Linked DNA regions of Kluyveromyces lactis. The protein of the gene in region 1 interacts with the protein of each later gene in a pairwise test. Links are inferred from orthologs where the notes say so. Each region holds a gene or a part of one and is shown on either strand. Other genes may lie near its edges.

Evidence for each region.
Region 2: the proteins of AIP1 (region 1) and COF1 interact in a two-hybrid assay, tested with the Saccharomyces cerevisiae proteins (2 studies listed by BioGRID). The link is inferred for Kluyveromyces lactis from reciprocal best matches to the Saccharomyces cerevisiae genes AIP1 and COF1.

The regions. Positions count from the first base shown.
Region 1 is NC_006042.1:1,271,748-1,280,115, reverse strand, and holds AIP1 (Aip1p), read left to right. Parts: upstream 1-4,143; coding exon 4,144-6,006; downstream 6,007-8,368. Other genes in the region: CTF13 (Ctf13p), read right to left, coding at 1-599; SLD2 (Sld2p), read left to right, coding at 670-1,872; snoRNA-binding rRNA-processing protein UTP15, read right to left, coding at 2,022-3,584; NPL6 (Npl6p), read left to right, coding at 6,357-7,619; m-AAA protease subunit YTA12, read left to right, coding at 8,038-8,368.
Region 2 is NC_006041.1:31,768-39,373, forward strand, and holds COF1 (cofilin), read right to left. Parts: upstream 3,898-7,606; coding exon 3,884-3,897; intron 3,364-3,883; coding exon 2,946-3,363; downstream 1-2,945. Other genes in the region: EFM1 (protein-lysine N-methyltransferase), read left to right, coding at 757-2,433; KLLA0_E00485g (uncharacterized protein), read left to right, coding at 4,316-4,861; MUP3 (Mup3p), read left to right, coding at 5,702-7,309; KLLA0_E00529g (uncharacterized protein), read right to left, coding at 7,406-7,606. UniProt on the Saccharomyces cerevisiae protein: Controls reversibly actin polymerization and depolymerization in a pH-sensitive manner. It has the ability to bind G- and F-actin in a 1:1 ratio of cofilin to actin. Binding to F-actin is regulated by tropomyosin.

The DNA.
Region 1 (8,368 bases):
GACTCCATGCATGGAATGATAGAAACGACGTTCTCATGATCTAAATCCCAGCAATTGATGAAACTAATATATGAAACTGTATCAAATAGCCAGCGGTGTTGTATCTCTTTGCATAATTCATTGACATCATTGATATCACTGACGTTAATTCCTAACCTCAAATCTTGTTGTGCAATACTCAAAAGATGGCAATACTCGTTAATGGTATAACTCACCTGTAGAAACTGCTCATCTGTAGTGAATATTCCTATTTCAAGCTCACCTGACACTACGATCCATTGGACACTAAACCATTGTTCCTCATATTGTAAACAAACCCGCAGTCGATCAGTAAGTATTATGTCATGTCGAAGCAAATCGAAGTCTCGGCACCAATTGGGAATGAAATTTGGTATATAGTCATATACACCAATATGTTTAGAGTACTTATCCACCAGAGATTGATTGAACTCCCTTATATTAGGATAGGCAATAAGCTCATCGTTAAAGATATCTGATTTAGCAGGTGGTCTTACATTTTGCACAACGTCGCCCAAAAAGAAGTAAACAGTATACCGTATATCGATTGGTAAACTGAGGAACAGCTTGGTATCAAACATTCCATCTCATGTGCCCTGATTGACCTGTGATCGTGAATCTTTTGCAGCTCATTTCTCTTTATTCTTCTTCATGGGAAACTTCAATAATTTACGCGTTTTAATTTCGTTCTTTGCCTTTATTCTAACGACCTTTATGAATGGAATAAAAGAGACAGATACAGTAAATGCACCGTTGTTACTCGTGATATCAAGCGCTAGTATGGATGCTCTTAAGATTGAGATCAAGCTGTGGGAGCGTGCTTTCGAGAAAGAGCATGGAAGGCTTCCTGAGAAAGATGATATAAAAAAGGATAAAGAGGTCAAGAGAAAGTATAAACAGTATGCACAGCTCAAGAAGGATGCTACTGTTAAACCATCGGTGGAGGTTAACGTAGAGCAAACACCAGTGAAGTCGCATGTGAATAACACAAAGGCTGAATTCGGACCGACTCCTCAAATGAATGGGAAATTAGTTAGTATATTTGAGATGCAAGTGTCTGCCATGAAAACTCACCAGTCGGATCAAGAAGATATAGTTGGCTCGCCAGTAAGATCAAATGACCTGGTAAGGCGCCAATTGAACTTCTCAATAACGCCGAACTCTTCTCCAATGAAGCAAGTTCCAAATCTATCTGCGAATATTGTTGTGTCAAGACCGAAATATGGACCAAACTCCCCAATGCGGATCGGCGATATTGGATTGCAGTTGTCAGAAACACCAAAGACGCTTGGTAGAACCCTGGATTTGAAAAGTTCTCCCTTCAGCCCATCGCCGCTGATTAAAAGGCCGGTGAAGACACTGTCCCAATTAGCGAAGGAACATGCCATTATAAAAGACGAATTCGAATCTAACCCAGAAGATTTCAGCGAATTCACTGCGATTAGAACGCTTATGGAAAAGCTGATGCAGGAAGAACATATGGATATAATTGAAGAGGGGGACGAGGGAACTGTCGGCAATGAAACTGAGAGCAATTATGTGCGGAAAGTTAAAACCATAAAGAAAAGAACAAAAGCGAAGATGAGACCAGCAGCATTAAACGAGAAGTCGACCAACATTCCAGACAAAAATGTTCATGAACAGCTAGCAAAGTTGAAGGAACGTGAGTACAATAAAATGCTGGGTAAAGAAGTGGAAGAAAGTGAGTCTGACTCTGAACAACAATCCAATCCACCCGTAAAGAAGAAGCAACGTAAGAGTAAATACAACCTTGTTAGCAACAACTTCAAGCGTTTGAATCTTCCAACAAAGGCAGGAAGAAACAGAGCCAGTAAATGGAGAGGAAGAAGGTGATTTCTTCAAAGTCAGAACGTTAAAAACAAAGAAACAGACGTAACGAACGGGATGATACAGTTGTTGCAGTCTATGTACTATAAATGTAAATAAATATAATCTTTTACACGCATTCCTTTTTGTTATAGATCAGTGTAGAAAGGATTTTATCAGTTTGTTAACAATTGGAGCATACCCTCTATCTTTTGTGCTTCTTTTGCTTTGCGGATCTCTTCCCTTACTCTTTTCTTTAGAGTGATTACCATCTCTTCAAGTACTGGGGACTTCTCCAGTACACTACCGTAGAGTTCAATTACAACCGCAATCCAGTCTGCAACAATTGGTGCACTTCTAACATCTTCTATTCCCTTCAAGCACCAGTTGAGTAGTGGTTCTAGAGAACTTTCGTCTCTACCGTATAATGCAACCTTGATTTTACCTCTTTTCCTTAGTTCTTGTAATACCGTTAAAGTTAATTCTTTAGCCATACCGGGGATAAATGCAGAATCTAATGCGTCAGACCATTTGAATTGGTTGATATGCCTTTCGAATTGACGCAACTTACGCTGAGGATTTGGCTTATCGTTGTGTATAATATGCTCTTGATCACCTCTGTATTCGGACCCTCTCATCATTCTCTGGAAATTGTTGGATTTCGCAGACTTCTCTTGCTGTTGTAATGGTAAATCCTCCAAATCAGAGACATCAGCGAGGTTAATCTTTTTGGACTTCTTCTTCGTCTTGATGGCTAGAATTCCTGAGGATAAACCTGCAACGAAATGTTTATTACCTTGCGCATCGCCTGGTGAGACTGCACAACTTAGCACAGCGTTGCTAAACTTCCAGCCAAACTTGAATTGGAAGTTCTCCAACGGGGAAAAGATCTTAACATGACCATCAAGCGAGGATGCAACTAGTACGGAACTCATTGGTGATTCTTCTCCCATATTTGTGTAATTCAAACAGGTGACCGTCTTTGCGAAATTTTGACGTTCACAAAGGGCTCTATCGCTAGTCAAGTCCCATACTTTGAACCCGTTACCACCACACGATGCAAGCTGAGTAGGAGATATGGCTGTGATATCTTCCACAGGAAGACCGTGATCCAAAGTTGTCTGTGGTTTATCTGATTTCGTTCTAATATCGTACAATCTAACTACTCCATCGTACGACCCTGTAGCGACCATATGTGGAGCATTTGGCACAAAGCAGACTGATCTAACATAATCAGATGCTCCAGTTAACTGTAAAGTGGGTTCATAAGCATGAGAAACATCCCATAGTCTCACTACTCTATCGTCGTTTGCCGTCACCAAAGTCTTGTTATCCTGATCGTGAAACTTCGTCACATGCGTAGGATGCGACGAAGCTTGTATAGAAAGCAACAAAGTACGTGGATTATAACTATCATAAACGGACACTAACCCAGTAGCGTCACCTGCTACTAAAAGTTTACCGTCTTGACGGAAAGTGGCCGAATGCACCACATCTTTAAACCTAGAAAACGTCTTGATCACTTGTCTTGTCCTTGACGAGAAGACCTGTACCCTAGTAGAAGAGGTAACTGCAAAATCATGTGGATGCTGGGGATTGAAGGCAATATGAGTCACTGCATTGTGCTCTTTAACAAGCTGAGTAGATGAATAAGACCTCCAGTACCTCTGCTCTGGGGTGGTCTGCTTTGGTAACACAGGAGCCTTTACCGGCGTCACTCTAGGTCTCACAGACGACATTTTCTTCACAATATTTCTACCAATCTGATCGCCTGAATCACCTCTATCACTTAACAGTAGTCTGACGATACCAAACCGACTGATATAACTCGCAAATTACAGGGAAATCTATTTTATCAACCATGCGATGAGCTAAGGCTTCAATCATTTTTTTTTTCCAAAATCTGGTTTCTTTTCTTTGAAGACTCGAAGAATCTCGTTGATTGTGATTTTTCAGAGAAGAATAACCGTTCACTGTACTTTACAAGCAGATAAAGGGCCTTTAAGGCCCTTTATCTGCTTTTAACCTGGTTTCCCAGATTTTCTTGATTCCCAGGTATTCAGCAATACCACTTTCATTATACTAACTGGTATTTAGGATATCTTTTCTTTGTATTTCTGCATCCCAGTAGTTATTATTTCGTCTATTTACATTCCATATGTATGGAATTTATTTATACTCACCAGTTTATCAAGAAACTAAACCATGAGAACAGGACACGTTTGAGTCAGGAAGAGGTCTTTCTGGTGCGTTTACAGAGTGTTCCAAAAGTCAATTGATCTAGTATCTCGCGATAATATGGTTTCGATTAATTTAGCAAAGGTTTTTGCACCTCTCCCTTCTACAAAGAGAAACTTTACGACACATTTATCATATGATCCAAAGACTGACAGTTTAGCTTATGGTAGCGGTAGATCTGCCATCATTAGATCTTTAGATGGTGAACATGTCGTTCAATTCAATGGCCATGGTACCAGTAATGTCACTGTTGTAAAATTTTCTCCTATCCAGGGGTCTCAATATGTTGCTTCAGGAGATGATTCCGGTAGAGTTATCGTTTGGTCTTGGAATCAGGACGATAAGTCTGGAGAAATTGAGTACAACGTTAAGTCGGAACTACATGTGCTCGCTGGTCCTGTCGCTGATATATCCTGGGATTTTGAGGGTAAAAGATTGGCTGTTGTTGGTGAAGGTCGTGATAGGTTTGGTGCGTTTGTCTCTTGGGACTCGGGCAACTCGTTAGGTGAAGTCTCGGGTCACTCTCAAAGAGTCAATGCAGTTCATTTCAAGCAAAGCAGACCAATGAGAGCTTTCAGTGTCAGTGATGATGGTTCTGTTGTGTTTTACCAGGGTCCACCTTTCAAGTTTGCAAGCAGTGATAGAACGCATCACGGCCAAGGTAAATTCGTTAGAGACGTCAAGTTCTCTCCAGGTGCAGGGAAATATGCTGTGTCTGTCGGTAGCGATCGTAAGATATGTTGCTTTGATGGTAAGACTGGTGAATTTATCAAATACATTGAGTCTGAAAAGGCTCCAATTGGCGGTGGTTTGTTTGCTGTCGCATGGTTAGACGATGGTGAAGAGTCTTCTAGAGTTGTTACCGTGGGTGCTGATTGCACTGCAAGGTTGTGGGATGTGTCGTTGGATGATCCATTCCAACAGTCTTGGAAATTAGGTGCAGATGTTTCGAATCAAATTGTCGGTGTTGTTGTCACTAAGGATAACTCCATCGTAACATTGACGCTTGATGGGACCTTGAGCATTTTGTCTCTAAATGATCATACCATCAAATTCATTCATGGTCACAACAAGGGGATTACTTCTTTGGCGGTAAACCCATTAGTGTCTGGGTCATACGATGGTAGAGTTGTTACCTGGAATTCAGAAGGTGACGAAGTCAATGCTATTAGCCATGATATTCATGGTAATCTCGTATTGGCCATCGATAACTCTGATAACGAGGTATCGAGTGTTTCTTGGGACGAAACGTTGAAGAATTTCATCGATGGTGAAAAAGCGCTTGCTGAAACGAAGTACCAATTCTCAGAGCAACCTAAATGTGCGGTTTTCTCTCATAACACTTTGGCTGTTGCTACAAACACTAACGAATTGTTGATCATCGATAACAAGAGTGGGCTATTATCGAAATCGATAACTCTAGATAAACCTGTCGGGGCCCTCGCATTGGGAACTACTTTCGTGGCAGTGGCATACGAACAAACCAACTCCGTGCAGCTATTCAAAATTTCTGACCTATCAGATGCATTCACGTTGGCCACTCCATTACGTGCCACTCCATCTGCTCTTTCCTTCTCTCCATCACAAAAGTACTTGGCTGCCGGTGACGTGTCCGGTAAGATTATCCTATATGATCTTGACACGAAGGACGTCAAGACCTCGAGATGGTCATTCCACACAAGCAGAATTACATCCATTGACTGGAGACCTTCTGCAAATGATGATGATTTGGAGGAAGATTATGTTGTCACTGGCTCTCTGGACACCAACATCTTCATCTACTCTGTTAACAAACCTATGAAAGTGATAAAAAGATTAAACGCACAAAAGGACGGTGTGTCCAGTGTACTATGGGAAAACGATTCCACTATCGTCAGCGCCGGTGTGGACGCCTGTATCAAGAGGTGGACCGTCGAGTTTTGAATGAGACACATTTTTTACCAGTAACACATAAAAGTATTTAACAGTTAGTTAACGTACGAAATATAAGACAATGAATAACAATAGGAGGATCAGATGTTGCATCAAGGCCCCCCCCCCCAGAAATATCTAGAGCTTCTAGTAAAGCCGTTGAAGTTGTTCTTTCTTCTTTATCATCTCATACGTTTTGATGTTTCTCTTGAACATTGAACAGATTCCTGCCTCTCAAAGCTTATATATAAACAAACAAGATCAACAAAGCTCGGTTGAAAGCGGATATACGCATAACATTCCTTAGTAATTCTGTATTTGGAATCACCAATCAAGAAGCTTGAGTTTCTCCTATATCAGATATGGCAGCAGCAGGAAGAGGCAGGAAGAGCTCGAGGGTTTCTCGCTCAGCTAACAAAGCAACCAGCTATAAAATCGATACAGACGAGTTAGACATTGAAGATGATGAAAAGGATCAAGAGTACCCTGGACCAGCCAATGATGATGATTACGATGATGACCCAGATGCTGATATCGAAAACGAGGGTAAACCATCTCGTTCCAAGCGCAAGGCCGCTTCGAGCACACCTGTTCCAGTGGTACTAGCGACAAGAGGAAGGCCTTCAAAGAGGAAAAGAGAAGAAGATTTGAACGATCCCTTAAGACAGAAACTACCGTACCCAGTGGACGAAAACGGGTCTCCATACCCAATTGTGAATGACGAGTATTCATTACCTGAGGATCCAGAGGGTGAAACCAAGATCACCAAGAATGGTGATCTTCTAGAGGGAAGACAATTTGTAGTCAGAACTTTCACGGTACCTTCCAGAGGTGAAGTTAAATACATGCTTTCTACTGAGCCAGCCCGTGCCGTTGGGTTCAGAGACTCATACTTGTTCTTCCAGTACCATCCAAACCTATACAAATTGATTATCTCGCAATCAGAGAGAGACGATCTCATCAAAAATGGTGTATTGCCCTATTCGTACAGAAACAGAATCATTGCGCTAGTTACTGCAAGGAGTGTGTTCCGAGAATTCGGAGCCAAGGTTGTTGTAGATGGTAAAAACATCACGGATGATTATTACGCCGGTAAGCTTCGTGCATCCGGGAAGGTGAAAGAGGGTACCCCAGCAAGAGAAACATCACACACAAGTGTCACTGGAAGAAATACCCTTGGAATAGACATTCCGCAACAATTATCCGTCAACCCATCCAAAAATGCAGTAGAATTCTTTGACAAGAGAAATCACAACATCCCGGCAACAAGCAATATCTCATCTACGAACTGGCTCTATCATCATGCTGCTGCATGCAGTAGATTCAACAGTGATCTTTTCTACGATAGAGAACGCATTCTTCTCATCGAAAACCTCGGACTAAGAGATACGTACACGAACGTCTTACATATACCACAATCCACACAATCGACGAGAGTGATATCAGTGAAGAAAGTGAAAGGAAACACAAGCCAAGTTATGTACGAAACAAGAATCAAAGCTCTTGACCTAGCAAGACCTTGCACCGGTCTTTCTGACGTCCCTACATCGATGTACGAAGACATCTTGGACGAAGATATAGTCGCTGCTATAGAAGAACAAAAGAGATTCGAAACAAGCCTATAACATAGCTGAACTGACCTCCCATGTATACGTGTATATCTCAACATACGTAATAAGAGTGTATTATACTAAGTGGCCGGGTAACGATATGTCCTTGCTCTACCAAAAATGAATTTGGGCTTTTCAACCAGAACAACCCCATAAGGTGAACAGACAAGGCCATTTGCCACCGATAAAAGGAGCGTTAGCAGTTACATTTGCAATCTACAGTGGTTGCATTGTGAATTTAAGACCCTATAGTAGTGTAAAATAGCCAGGTGTTTGTTGAAACGGCTGTTTTTGTCTCGGTTTGTTTCGGTGTTAACAAAGATTTTCCACTGGTTTTAAATTCGAAAAGTCCTGTTAGGTAAACGGTATAGCAATCAGACTCGGCTAACCGTAGCAGCGACGTGGTGGTTTTATTACATTGAAGTGACTTGCAATGTTCCATTTAATAAGGCCGGTATCTAGGCTTGGCGTAAAGTCTGTGGCCAGTAGGGCGTTGTACAAAGTTCCAAAGGGGCGTTCGCTGATATTGTTACGAAACGACGTATGCCGTACGTTCCATTCCGGTAAGCTCAACTTGATGCAGAATCGGTTTGAAAAGGAGCCTACGGATGAAGACGTTGATAAAGTCAGGAAAGAAGTTAGAAAGTTTATCGATGATTTGAACAAAGATCAGAAACTCGATATGGAAGAGCGTAAGAAGAAGATTGAAGAGCAATTACAGAGGTTGGAGCTTGCTGTGAAGAGGCAGCAGGAAAAAGAAGATG
Region 2 (7,606 bases), on another chromosome or scaffold:
CATCTAAAAAAGGAAAAGAAAAGGATTCGTTTGAAAGCGGACTTTACGCACGCCTTGACTTTATAAAATAAACTGTAGCATGTCTCTATATGGCGACTTGAAATCAACCATAAAGATCATCTGTCACCTTGGAATTTAGCTCATGTTACCAATAGAAAAGGTCTTAAAGAAAGAACTGTAAGTGGGGATCTTACAAGGTCTCGGGACATAGTTCAGGCCAATACATAATCAATGAATGTCTGTAGCAAGCTCAAATGCCAAATGTAAAAGTTGAGCTTTTTAACCTACAAAAACAACTTACTGATTTGAAACCACACTTTCATGTGCAAAAGCTCACATATGATATGAAGAGTATGTTCTCTTTTCCGCGGAGCTTTAACGTGACAATCAGAAAGAATTTGACGCACATCGACCAAACTCAATAGAAGGAAGAAATGCCCGGTAAGTACTGTTCTTGCATTTAAATACTGGGAGAAATACTTCACCATGTTCCGTTAAACCAAAAATAATGACTCCTCCAAATCCTATAACAGAGTCTAATAAAACAATAAAGATTGATAATGTGTTTTCCGATGATGCACATGTACTCCTTATGATCTCCTTGATTTTCATAGGAAATTCGCACTGATACAGAAATGAAAAAAAAGAATTGGCATTCTTAGACCATCTTTGTAAATAAACGCTGGGCAGCAAAGATATTGCCATACCGAAACTCTCCCAGTAAATCCATCGAATCTCTTTGAGTAGTAATACATCATGGTTAAAGAAGCAGCTCTTGAAAGATTGTTGGTCCATGCAAAGAAGAATAATTGTGAAATCAGTGATGATCTAGAGTTTCGAATTGACCCGGTGACTGGTGTAGGTGCATACTTGAAGCATAAGCTACATAATAAGGAAGCCCTCATAAAGATATCTCAAGATTTCATTTTAACTAAGGCTGAAGCGCTTCAATACTTTGAAATTGATAGTTGTTCTTCATCAAACCCTAACGCGATTACTCAGTTGTATTTAATCGCATTGCAGTCCAATCAGTCAGCGAAATGGCAACCTTATTTGGACGTATTGCCATCTTTGGACGATATTTCGAGCCCTTTAGTATGGCAGCCGCATGAACTAGAAATAATTCGTGGTTCTGACCTATACATAAAAACCAAACGGAAGCTTGCCTCTTTGCTAGACGAATGGTATGAGATTTTAACGGAACTGAATTTGTGCAGTGAAAAAGCGAAGAAGTACTATGAACTTCAAGATAGAGACAATATAGCTGTTGAGAAATGCTATTCAGTGGATTCTTTTGCTGCCTATCTGTGGGCGCATTTGATATTTTCTTCGAGGGCTTTTCCATCCATAATTTATGATAATTCAGCGGGTTTGGAGGAGGGCTTTCTTCTCCCAATCGTCGATCTTTTAAATCACAAAAGTGACACGAAGGTACACTGGAAGTCAGAAGGTTCCTTTATAACATTTAGTTCCGAGGAAATAATTGAAGCCAAGGGTGAATTGTATAACAATTATGGTGATAAATCAAACGAGGAGCTTTTGCTCGGATACGGTTTTGCAATTGATTCCAACCCACATGATGCCACGTCTATATCTTTGAAACTAGATGAAAAAACACTATCTGAAGCATCAAATTACGGTACTGAAATCAACCCGAACAACGTATCTGGTGATTCCGTTAGATTCGATATTTCATTGAAAGATCCACTTCCAGTTCCGTTAATTAAGCTCTTTGGATTTATCTCAAAACTAAAATCAGAGAAAAACATTACTGTACGTGCCGTGCTTGAAGGTCTAGATCAACTGTATGCTTTATTACATCAAAAGATAGCTATTTTCAAAGCTAAGACCAAATTCGAATCGCATAATATCCGGAACGAATCGATCATAAAGAATGCAAAAATTTACTTAACAGGACAGCGAAGGCTTTTTCATTCCTCTCAGGAAGAACTGCAAAGGGAAATGAAAGCTATTATGAAGATTTATAAACCAGTGTCTTTCAAATCTATCTACAAGCTTGACCCTGAGTTTTCGAGCAGTTTATCGTCATGTTTAAACGTCTCATCCTATGAAGAGCTTGTCAAGAAAGGTCTTGCTCAACATGCACTTTTACTCTGGATTGTCAAAGCTCACAATGCTAAGTTTTATAAAAGTCCCCACTCGCCTTCATTCGTTAGCGATACCTTTAATGATGTCGAGCGCAATATCACGATCGAAAAGGACGATGTCTTAGAATACATGCAATTTTACCAAGCGTTTTTCCCTAATCTCTCACAGATGTTTCCTAAAGTGTACAGTGTAGGAAGTTGGTCCATAAAGGACTTCATTATCGCTGGTGTGGTGATGGACCGTATTGTATGGTTGAGAATGGCAAGCAATGAATATTTCCTATTCGAAAAGCAAACATTTGATTTCAAAAGATCCTATTCCTAACAGCAGTAAGAGTGGCGTAGTACCAATCCAATACGCTGAGGCTTTTATGTCAGTAGCCTGGATACCTATACCACTGACTAACTAATGCTCATCTTCACTTGATATATCGTCGAATTCATTTCATTCAGTTACTTGGATTAGTCAAGTGCTGTCAAGGGCCCTTTAATTTACTACTGGTTCATTTTTCAGAAAGTCCATCCCTCAATTTTGTCCTTCTCACAACTTCATTGTTCTTCGTGGTCCGTTTATAAGCATTGCATCTTTGAATTCTGCTTAATAAGAGATTTTGTTTGGATTCTTTTATTAAGGCGCGAAAAACTTTCCACTAGTTAGAGAACAACCATAAAACTATAACGAATATCAACATGAGGTTAATAGAAAGAAAAGTGGTATTTCAATTTTAATATAAAATATTAGATAACTATACTATCATATTAATAGTACAGGAACAAGCATTATCTTTTATAATTGATTCTGGGTAAAATATAGCATACTTTCATTTCTTGATGAATTTAGTGGGAGCCAGCAGCTCTGCTAACCTTTTCCAAGACAGACTCGTAAGCGACTTCAGAGAAATCGGTACCTTGAATATCAGAGGAAACACCATTCAAAGCTCTTCTCAATGCGTCCTTAGAAGAAGCATAAACCATCTTGCTTCTCACAGGAGCAGTATCTGGGGACCAAGTGAAGAAAACAATCTTAGATCTCTTACCTTCGTTGTTACCCAGTTCATATTCAAAATCGTAAACTGCGTACAAACAGTCGTTCTCTGGCAATTGCTCCAAAAACTTATCGTAATCTTGTTCAGCAGAAGTTTCCTTCACAATAATTTCAGTTTTGCTGTCGTTCAAAGCATACAAAATGAATTTGTACTTCTTTCCCAATTTCAAATCATTGAAAGCGTTCAAAGACTCATCTGCTACGGCAACACTGTTATGAATTCGTTTTTAATACAATCCCTACTTTCCTTTTAGATCTTTGGTTGTTCAAGATAGCACAATATCTGAATATTCAATTAATCAGGTACCAATTCCATCATAGGGAAAGTTGGTGGTATCGTGTGTTCTTCAACCAAAGAAACAAAAGAGGATAAGAAAAAGATCATGTTTTAAACTCGTGTTAGTAAACTCGTTTGCAATTAGCTGGAAGTATGCGGCGACAATTGTTATAAACTGCCATTATAAGGGTGGAGATAAAACAAGGCAGATTAATCAACAGAAACAAACATTCAAAAAAAATATCAGGAACGGTAGATACCTTTAATATTTGATTTCACGCCAGGCACCCTATAATCTTATACCCAATTGCTACTTATGTGTGCATCGGTTAAGGATTGGGCTTTTTTCAATGTTTGTTTTTGTTTTTAACACATATGTGGTCCTTAATATATTAAGTAAAGACCTTCTCTCAAAATTACCCCTATACTTTATAATATGGCTTTTACACATACCCTGATCTGGACATCTTGTGGATACTTATAATTGGCTGTGGTACACTGTAATAGAGAAATAAAGGAGAATAATGAGAAGGAATCTAAAAAAAATCCCATTCAATTCTGCTAACGGCAAAAGTCATGTAGGTTCTGTCAATTCAATGGTGAAATTATAAGATCACTATTTTTTTTAAGTTTTTTGGGAAATGTAAACCTCCCTTGTGATCGTAATGTACGAAACAATAAGAATGCACACTTCAATGCTTTTCTGTGGAAAATACTATAGAAACATTGCCTTTCACGGTGAAACTAAGTATTTTGTAGGTTTCAATCATGTGTGTGTTTGCAACTCCATATCCTTCAATTTTCTTACATATTAATGCCCGTAAGCTCTAGACTGTTTTCTTTTCCCGAGGGTCGGTAGATCTGTTTTAATTAGTATATTATACAATGATACCTGACACTGTGGTGTTGATCAATCGACTTGTTGATCGAGTCAACACCCTTGAACTCACATTAGGAGAATATTCCATCAATGATATGAGGATAAGGGGAGCCTTAGCTGAATTACAAAAAAATTCGCAGCTAATCCTGAAGAATGGTGATAAAAACCTGAAGGAGATGCACCGGTATCTAATAGCGTTCGGCAATAATTCTCATCTTGGCGCTAACGAAGCTCAAGTATGGTTTGAAGCTCATCATTCGGAACTCTTGAAAATGTTAGATATGTTAATGAATCTCGACACAAAACTCACTGAAAGTCTGGATCTAACCCTTGGTTCGTTTGGATCACGAATCCCTGACTGTGTTCTGGAATTGACACAGCTGCACAATGTAACGAGAACTGTGATTCAGCTGGTCCTGAAATCTTTTCTAGTGATAAATCGGTTTATTTGCTTATCAACTCAACAGGAAGAAATGATTCTTGACGTTGAGAGCAGACTTAATAGGTTGCATGGGATTCTACGGTGTAGTGAAAGCGAGGTTTCAATATAGCGTTTGTACTAAATCATACCCAACACTATTAAATTCCTATTGTGCTTCGTTTTCCATCACAGTGCTAAACTACAGACCGATTCTACACTTGAAAAATACAGAATATTACTCATGAAGGCGGCTATTAGAATGGTGATCACTCCATTTCTATCAGGGTGACCTCTAATTGAGATGTTAGGCCAATTTCTGTTACTTTTTTTAGGTAAGGGTGGAATCAGCACTTCCATCAGTGCATACATTGAGTATACCTCACTGCTCATTTCAAAAATCATCATCCTTTCGAATTGCGGACTACTTTGGTTGCTCTTGTCGTATAGTTGTACAGTCCAGATTATGTGTTTATCTGTTCGACCAGTATGTGAAATGTGACCGAGTGAATCTCGGTACTGTCTCGGTACTGTTGACGCTAGGTATCAGTACGATGTAATCCTGGTCTCTCTGTGTTATGGATGTGAAACTCTCCTAAACATGTAGACACTATATCTAATGTATGATCGACCTTACTGTCCTATCATAAGACACCAGGTGCATACATCCACATAATTGATTAAACAGCTAATTAACAATAGCATCTCCGAATAGACCCGCTAGGGGTTATGAATTTCCTCCACGTGACTCGAATCCTTCGATGCCACACAAGCTTTCTCTCGCCTAGTTTTTTTTGGTTGCATGCATACATATCAGAACCGCATTAAAAAAAAAAAGAGAACGCGATCAGCATCTTTTATCAATGAGAAGGAGGATGTAAAATAAAATTAAGGTTCCTTGTCATTAAGTTGATATACACAGCTGAGATAAAATGCCTATACACTGTTATGATCCAACGAGAACATCTGCTGTATGGAGGATACACACTTGATAGAGGGTTCAAAAGCCCCTCTATATATAATAGAGTCGGAGAGGGATTCCACTGAAGATCTAAGTAAGAATGTGTCATCCTTGATATCAGATAACGAAGTACCTCAGGGGAGGCACCTTGGAATTTTTTCTACTGTTATTCTCTTTGTGTCAAGGATAGTTGGTGGCGGTATCTATTCTGTTCCCAGCAGTGTTTTCGTGAATTGCGGTGGGAATGTGAGCCTGTTTCTATTCGTTTGGTTGTGTGCTGCAGTGATGGCTTTTATCGGTATGTCAATGTTTTTGGAGCTAGGCACTATCTTGCCAAAAAGTGGCGGAAGAAAAAATTTCCTTGAATTTTTATACGATAAGCCGCCAATGATGACGACAGTTATTTTATGCACATATTGTCTAATGACTTGTTTTGCTATGTCGCCTGCGATGATATTAGGAAAGTATATATTATACGCCTTAGGTTATGGTGAAGACTTTGTTAACAAGGAGTCGTATGCTTCTAACTATATTGGAATAGCTGCTATTATGGTTATAGTGTTTGTGCATGGTCTCTCTCTTAACCATGGCCTCATCATTCAGAATATTTTGGGGATTATAAAATTGGTCATTGTGCTCCTAATGTCCTTAGCAGGAATGTATGTGACACTATTTTATCATAATGCTTCTTATGACATAACCCAGCCGTCGCTATTATTTAGTGCTGCTGTGCAAAGCTCTGAAGCGATCAGTAGTGCATCATTGACTTCTGCGTTTATCCAGTGCTTTTATTGTTTCGCTGGATGGGATACTGTTCACACCGTTACCTCCGAGATCAAGGATCCTAACAGGACATTGAAATTGGCTGGACCTCTTTCGCTTCTGATGGCTCTAATATGCTACCTTTCTCTGAATATTGCATACATAAAGGTGCTCACTTATGAGGAGATCAAGAATGCTGGACCTTTGCTCGGATCTGTTTTATTTTCTAAGATTTTCGGAAAAGCCGTGGGAGCACAATTCATTAATATCTCCATAATCCTTTCTGCAATATCGAACCTTTTTGTTACTGTGTATGGTATTTCTAGAATGAATCAGGAAATATTTAGAGAGGGTCTGTTTCCTTTTTCTGCACAATTGGCCAGAAATTGGCCTTGTAATTCCCCACTTCCCTCTTTGTTAATTTGCGGCATAGTCAGTTCTTTTTGGCTATATCTACTTCCAGGGACAGGAGCTGCTTTCGATTACTTGATCAATTTTGAGGGATATGGGAATCAAATAATGTTACTTTTAGTTGCTGCTGGATTACTCGTCAGGAGAGAACGTCTAAAAAGATACCAATTTCCTTCGAGAACACCAATTGTGGGGGTGGTCGCCTTTCTGCTTCTCTCCGTATACTTGAGTGTTGGTCCATTTTTTGGTAATGGAACCGGCAACTCTGTTGGGAAGTTTCCCTCTTATCAGTACGCAGCTATTTTCCTATTCGCACTTTCCGTGGGCTTCTGGTTCATGAAGTTTGTATTGCTTCCCAGATTGTTTAAATACACTCTTAGAAGCACTGTTGTTGTACAAAATGACGGACTAACAGTTGTGGACTGGAGGAGACATCCTGTAGAATAGAACTCAGGAAATTTGCTGAAGAATAATAAAATGTTTAAAACTTTTCTGCGACTATTATATATTGAATTATTACTACTCCCGATTAAATAATACTTCTCAATTTGCATTGAGCTTTTTGACAAATGATTCTTTGGCTAATTGTATCAAGACTTCTAATTCTCCACTATCTTCACACATATGATAGAATATACTATCACGATTCAACAATAAGGAGTAAGGATGATCATATTCTTTAACCTCCCCAGCATCCATAACAAGTATTTTATCATAATCAATAATTGATCGTAAACGATGAGC